Arabidopsis thaliana: one gene and its partner. The protein of the gene in region 1 interacts with the protein of each later gene in a pairwise test. Each region holds a gene or a part of one and is shown in the gene's direction. Other genes may lie near its edges. The genes, in order: AT1G02040 and AT5G43540.

Region 1 (4,009 bases):
AACATTGATCTTTCAACGCAGGTTGTCAGATTGCTTTTTAGTAGTGCACAGAAAGAGAAGGCATTTCTGATTGTTAGGTTGCTTTATGATAACGGGTATTTGGTTAAGATGGAGGAATTACTTGGTTACCTCTGCGAGAATAGAAAACTACTTGATGCACATACACTTGTTCTGTTTTGTCTGGAAAAAAGTCAAATGGTAGATATCGACACATGCAACACGGTCATAGAAGGACTCTGTAAGCATAAGAGACACTCTGAAGCGTTTAGTTTGTACAATGAATTAGTAGAACTAGGAAACCACCAACAGCTTAGCTGCCACGTGGTTTTGAGGAATGCCTTAGAGGCTGCTGGAAAGTGGGAAGAACTTCAGTTTGTGTCAAAGAGGATGGCTACATTGAGAGAATCAGATGATTGCTCTGTATTAGAATGAAGGATAGACCGTGCATCTGGTTTCTGGTAAACAGGATCCTCTCTCTTTGTTCCGTTTTCAATTCTGTGTCTAAAATTATCCATTGGCAATTGTAAAATTTTTGGCCCTCAGCAATTAAGCAAGTTTGTATTCATCGTGTCTGTTACAGGTCTCTATGGACGTTGCAACTCTCTGTTCCTAACTTTCACCTTCATGGTACCTATTTCCTAAGTAGATTAGGCTTATATTACTTATCCCGGGAAAATAGGTTTCATGGTGTTTTTTGCATTTCTAACCAACACAGGCCAAAGAATCACCAAACCCTAATAAAATAACCGTTTCTCTCTTTACATGATCTTCACTCTTCAGCACCAAACTCTCCCCAAGAAAACCCTCAACCCTTCCTTTATAATCCTTTGCCATTTGCTGATATTCTGCATCCACCATCTTTCTTCCCAATATCTAATTGAGTTTTTTCCTTCTGCGCTTGAAAAGAAATGTCGAATTCTAGGATGAATGGTGTTGAGAAGCTAAGCAGCAAATCCACAAGGCGTGTCGCAAATGCCGGAAAGGCAACACTGCTTGCTCTTGGCAAAGCCTTCCCAAGCCAAGTCGTTCCTCAGGAGAATCTAGTGGAAGGATTTCTACGAGACACCAAATGTGATGACGCGTTTATCAAAGAAAAGCTGGAACACTTGTGTAAGCCTCAGTCTCTTTATATTTTTTTCAGACAGCTATGCTCTCTTGTGAAATGCTGAAAGCTTTCTAATGTTTTGTGCTGTTGTTTAGGCAAAACGACAACCGTGAAGACGCGATACACTGTGTTGACGCGAGAGATACTGGCTAAATACCCTGAGCTAACAACAGAGGGTTCACCAACAATCAAGCAAAGACTTGAAATTGCAAACGAGGCGGTTGTGGAAATGGCATTGGAAGCCAGTTTAGGTTGCATCAAGGAATGGGGAAGGCCAGTGGAAGACATCACTCACATTGTCTACGTTTCCTCAAGCGAGATCCGTTTACCCGGTGGTGACCTTTACCTCTCAGCAAAGCTAGGCCTGAGGAATGACGTGAACAGAGTGATGCTGTATTTTCTGGGATGCTACGGAGGTGTGACTGGCCTCCGTGTGGCCAAAGACATTGCTGAGAACAACCCCGGAAGCCGTGTTCTGCTCACAACCTCTGAAACCACCATTCTCGGATTTCGGCCACCAAACAAAGCGCGTCCGTACGACCTAGTTGGAGCTGCTCTGTTTGGAGATGGTGCAGCTGCTGTGATCATCGGAGCTGACCCGAGAGAGTGTGAAGCTCCTTTCATGGAGCTGCACTATGCGGTTCAGCAGTTCTTGCCGGGGACACAGAACGTGATCGAGGGGAGGTTGACTGAGGAAGGCATAAACTTCAAGCTTGGACGAGACCTCCCGCAGAAGATAGAGGAGAACATAGAAGAGTTCTGCAAGAAGCTGATGGGAAAGGCTGGCGATGAGTCGATGGAGTTCAATGACATGTTCTGGGCTGTTCATCCAGGAGGACCTGCGATTCTGAACCGTCTGGAGACAAAACTGAAGCTGGAGAAAGAGAAGCTGGAGAGCAGCAGAAGGGCGTTGGTGGATTACGGGAACGTGAGCAGCAACACGATACTGTATGTGATGGAGTATATGAGAGATGAGCTGAAGAAGAAAGGTGACGCAGCACAAGAGTGGGGACTTGGCTTAGCTTTCGGACCTGGAATCACCTTCGAAGGCCTTCTCATCCGCAGCCTCACCTCTTCCTAATTGTTATAATTTACATTTGGGTTATAAACATATTGTAAGCATGAAATGAGAGTATTATTTGTTAAACAACATCTATATAGAATAGATGCATGTGACTAGGAATGTTGGAAAAAGTCAAAAGTTGCACCACGTGTCGTTAAAGCAAGTGCTTAGCTACTTGGAACCACATGAACAAGAAGACACCAAACCCGTTACTTCCACTAAAAACAAGGGCTTTCTTCTTTTTAATTCACACCAAAACACTTTGAACACACACATGCATGGAGCCATGAACTCACCATGCATTGATTTCGTAATGTTCAGTCGTGGACAACACGATGAGGACAACATGTCACGTCGTCCTCCGTGGAAGAGGGAGAGATCGATGTCCACTCAGCATCATCATCTTAACTTGTCTCCAAACGAAGACGAAGAGCTTGCCAACTGTCTTGTCTTGTTGTCCAATTCAGGGGATGCGCATGGTGGTGATCAGCATAAACAACATGGACATGGTAAGGGCAAAACCGTCAAAAAGCAAAAAACCGCCCAGGTTTTCCAATGCAAAGCTTGCAAGAAGGTGTTCACGTCGCATCAGGCATTGGGTGGACACAGGGCAAGCCACAAGAAAGTGAAGGGTTGTTTTGCCTCTCAAGATAAAGAAGAGGAAGAGGAAGAGGAATACAAAGAAGACGACGACGACAACGACGAGGACGAAGATGAGGAGGAGGATGAGGAAGACAAATCAACGGCTCATATCGCAAGAAAGAGATCCAACGCTCACGAATGCACCATCTGCCATCGCGTCTTCTCTTCGGGACAGGCCTTAGGAGGCCACAAGCGATGCCATTGGCTAACACCTTCCAATTATCTTCGTATGACGTCGCTCCACGATCATCATCATTCCGTCGGCAGACCGCAGCCGTTAGATCAACCATCTCTCGATCTCAACTTAGCTTGCCAAGAATATTCCGTCGATCCAACGGCCATGAGCGTAGGGATGATCGAGAGAGATGGTGGTGGCAATAATCACAACGCTACTTCATCTTCGTGGTTAAAACTCGCAAGTGGTGATTGGTCTTGACGACTGACTAATTTAATTAAGTTGCTAATTATATTCTTTTAACTTTCATTCGTTTATATTCTTTACATATATACAATTAAGTGCATGAGTTTATATATAGAGTTTATGGATTTATATGAATTACACTTGGCGTCTTCTGCAGATTTAGAGAGCCATAAGGAGTTCTAGTCCAATATATACAAAGATATAAGTAAGAAATTAAGTTTCACAACTAGTTAATATACAAGATAGATAATTGTATCATTTTTTATTATTATATACGTTGAGAATAAAGTAAGATAACCAAGGGCTCCTTGCTCATATAAGCGCAAATGTTTTAATTTCATGTTTGTAATCTTACAGAGTGATATAATTTACTTGTTAAGCCATCAAGAAGGAGATATAATTTTGAAGTTTTCCAGAAAAGAAATTGTAAATTCGAAATTAAGAAATCACAAAGAAGAAAAATATCAAATAAATAAACGAATATCACGTATCAAATAACTCTCGTGATATGCCCATATATATTTTAATCATGTTAATAATCAAAAGGCTCTTACTACACTGAAAACACATGAACATGAGTCAACGCCTCAACGGAATTGATAATTTTGGTGGTTCTTAATTAAGCACCGATTGCAAGGAAAGGGTCATTTCTCTCAATACGATTACAAGAAAAGAGTCATTTTTATCTCGCATATATGTTATTAATGAGTGGTTGCCATTACAAGTTATGAACTTTTGACTTTAGGAAGCCCACCAACCATCAGCTGAAAACTAGGAT
Region 2 (3,203 bases), on another chromosome or scaffold:
AAGATTCTAATGATTTTGTCTTATATTGTTCCGTAACAAACTACGTGTAAAATACGGCACTGCCAAAGCTACATAATCAAATTTCAGAAGCCAGATTTTTCCTATGCAAATATTGTATGAGTATGATATAGCTACAATCTACATAAGCTACTTAACAAATATGTTAGGTTTTGTCGATTTTCGTCTATCCGATGAATCTAGTCATGAATCAAAAAGTACTAGTGTATACAAATATATTTGCAGGTTGCAACCAAATTATATAGAGAGACGAACATCCAGCCTGGAAACGTAATGTAAGAAAAAAGGAAAAAAAAAATCACTAAAGTAACAAAAAGTGCACCAGCCGGGAATTGAACCCGGGTCTGTACCGTGGCAGGGTACTATCATGCCACTAGACCACTGGTGCTTTTTGCGGAATGTTGTGGAACTAGGATTCTAAACTAATGATGGAAAGCAGACCAAACCCAAACAAACCGGATTAGGTGTACATGTAACGTAATCAATCAATGATGTGGCAGTAATTAAACGAATCAGTGTACTCGAGTTGCAATCAAATGACATCTTCATTTTTTCGAGCTGTTTAATCAAGAAAATACTATTTACGATCACCTAAGCTAATATTTATTTTTAGCCCATAAACTAAAGTTTAGTTTTGTACTCTATTATGTCTATGTTATCTTTATCTCTTTGATAAATTTTTGAAAGTTTATGACTTATGAATTATGATAATTCGTTTTCATCAAAATATTGTTTTTGTTTTAGTAAAAAATGATCGTTGTGATATTTTGTAGTAGAAAAAGTAAGCAGTCAATCGAGACCTAACTTTTAAAAACGTTTTGCGATAAAAGGTTAGATTATTACAAGACAAACACAAAAGGAATATTTTATAAATTAAAATATAATAACACGATTGATTTAAACCACTCCCTTGCCTTTTAATTGTCATCATTTCTTGTAATTTTGTGGACTAATTGAAGAGTTTAGTTGAAGTTGATTTGGATTTCAGTTAACTGGATTAATGTGAGGATTGGTTTTATCTGATTTATAATCAAATCTTTAATTTGTTATGTCTCTTTCGATATATATTTTGTTTTATGTTCGTTGCTTTGTGTTTATATACGAGTATTGTATTGTAAACAAAACTACTAGAGACGATAGTAAATATTGTTTTACTGATTAAAAAATCATAATCTTATAATTTATTCTACATGTGTATTTTTGTTGGAAACAAAACTGTAAAAGTTTTAGATAATTGTGAGATCATCACTACTCACAAAATAAATATATTTTTTCACTGATTTACTAGAGAACCAATTGAATAACATGGTCTAAACGTAATTTTTGAGGAGCAATACCTTCTAGTGGTATAAATTTATTTTGCCTCTTAGATTTAGCTATATAAACTTTCTATTATTAGCAAGTTAATAATTAATAATAGGCTACATTTATAATCTAGATATAAATAATACATGAGAATAAATAAATAAATAAATCCTTCAAATACGGTGATAGTTATAAGAAAAAATTGGTACATAAATATACGAAGAAAGAAAAAGCCAAATCATGTCTTCCAAACATATAAACACACATCAAGAAAAGTATTATTAGTCTTATATATAAATTTTGTTTCCTCTATCATATAAACCATCCTTATATGCACTCAACACATTTGACAACTCTTTCATCTTTCATCTTCCCTTAAAGTCCTATATTTCGGGTATCAATATTTCTTCAAAATATATATCCCTCGATCGATCGAGGCAACACACACATATATATATATATATATGGAGTGTGAGAGATCATCGTCGTCCACGTCATCAGAAACCGGAGCAGTCAGGCACCGTCGTACGTCGTCGTCGTCAGTCTCCACCGTGACGAGACGAATGTACGAGTGCACTTTCTGCAAAAGAGGTTTCACAAACGCACAAGCTTTAGGTGGTCATATGAACATCCATCGACGTGACCGTCTCAACAAGGCCAAGGTGCAAAACGATGCTGACGTGGCACTCTCGCAAACTCATAGATGTTTCCACGTGGCGTCTGACCTTGGAGGCTACGAGCAAGTAGACTCCGTCGTGTTGAGGACGACGACCTCGAACTACATCCAACACTTACGAATCGGCTCGATGGCTACAAGGAGAGAAAACGTCGTCGTTGAAGGAAATGAAATCGATTTGGAGCTGCGTCTTGGCTTATGATCATCAACTTCTTACCCTCTATAGATGTATAATAATACGTTTTTTTGGTGTATATTATATGGTTTTCGAGGTTGATATATGTAATCTAGGAAAGCGTATATGAGACTATAATATGTCAAGGTAAGATATTTTTGGTGGGTATTTATTTATGCATGTTTTGTGATCTATCTATGAGATATATATAAATCTTTTATCTTATATCATATTATTTTCATTATAGTTTTTTTCCATAACATAGTGAAATCTGTCCCATAATTAATTAATTGTCCAGATCTTCGCATTCTATATATAAAAAAATTTGGCAAATAGAAAATCTGTCCCCTGTAAACGGATTAATATGCTGCACCCGTGGTTCTAGGATTGCGGTTTTTAATCCCACCACTGGCGGTTTGGTGGTATTGCCCCATGTTAAAGCCAACGGAAGAGACATCTACACACGTCTCGGATACGATCCTGTCGATGATCAATACAAAATTTTGTGTGTGATGATGTTCCTTAAGTGTGACGACGGCCATAGACAATACGTTATAGAACAAGAGCATCTGGTTTTATCACTAACATCACACTCATCGTCGTGGAGAAAGATCGAGATCTCGGGAGATGCTTACTCCTACTTAGAAGGTGGGATTTGCATCAATAGTGCTATATACTATGGTGTTGGACATACAAAGATAGCTAGATTTAATATTAGATCCGAGAAGATAATGTTTATTCAAGCACCAGAGGATTATAATGCAATCTCATGTTATTCAACCCTTACAAATTACAAAGGAAAATTAGCATGTGTAAGCTATGACTCCTATTGTGAATCTAAGTTGCGTGTATGGATTCTACACGATGTTGAGAAAGAAGAATAGTCAAGCATCATGACTTGTGTTGTGCCTTGTGACAAGGAGCTATCTTTGTGCAGTGGAGAGAGTCATAACAACGAGGTTGTAGTGGTATCTAGATGCTTAAAGTCATCTAAGCACTTTTTTGTTTACTATTTCGATATGGTCAGAG

What was found.
Region 2: the proteins of AT1G02040 (region 1) and AT5G43540 interact in a two-hybrid assay, tested with the Arabidopsis thaliana proteins (one large-scale study listed by BioGRID).

Annotation. Positions count from the first base shown.
Region 1 is NC_003070.9:357,341-361,349, reverse strand, and holds AT1G02040 (C2H2-type zinc finger family protein), read left to right. Parts: upstream 1-2,271; coding exon 2,272-3,246; 3' UTR 3,247-3,444; downstream 3,445-4,009. Other genes in the region: AT1G02060 (Tetratricopeptide repeat (TPR)-like superfamily protein), read left to right, coding at 1-432; LAP6 (Chalcone and stilbene synthase family protein), read left to right, coding at 909-1,110, 1,201-2,186.
Region 2 is NC_003076.8:17,495,206-17,498,408, forward strand, and holds AT5G43540 (C2H2 and C2HC zinc fingers superfamily protein), read left to right. Parts: upstream 1-1,649; 5' UTR 1,650-1,787; coding exon 1,788-2,201; 3' UTR 2,202-2,489; downstream 2,490-3,203. Other genes in the region: AT5G43550 (F-box associated ubiquitination effector family protein), read left to right, coding at 2,687-3,058.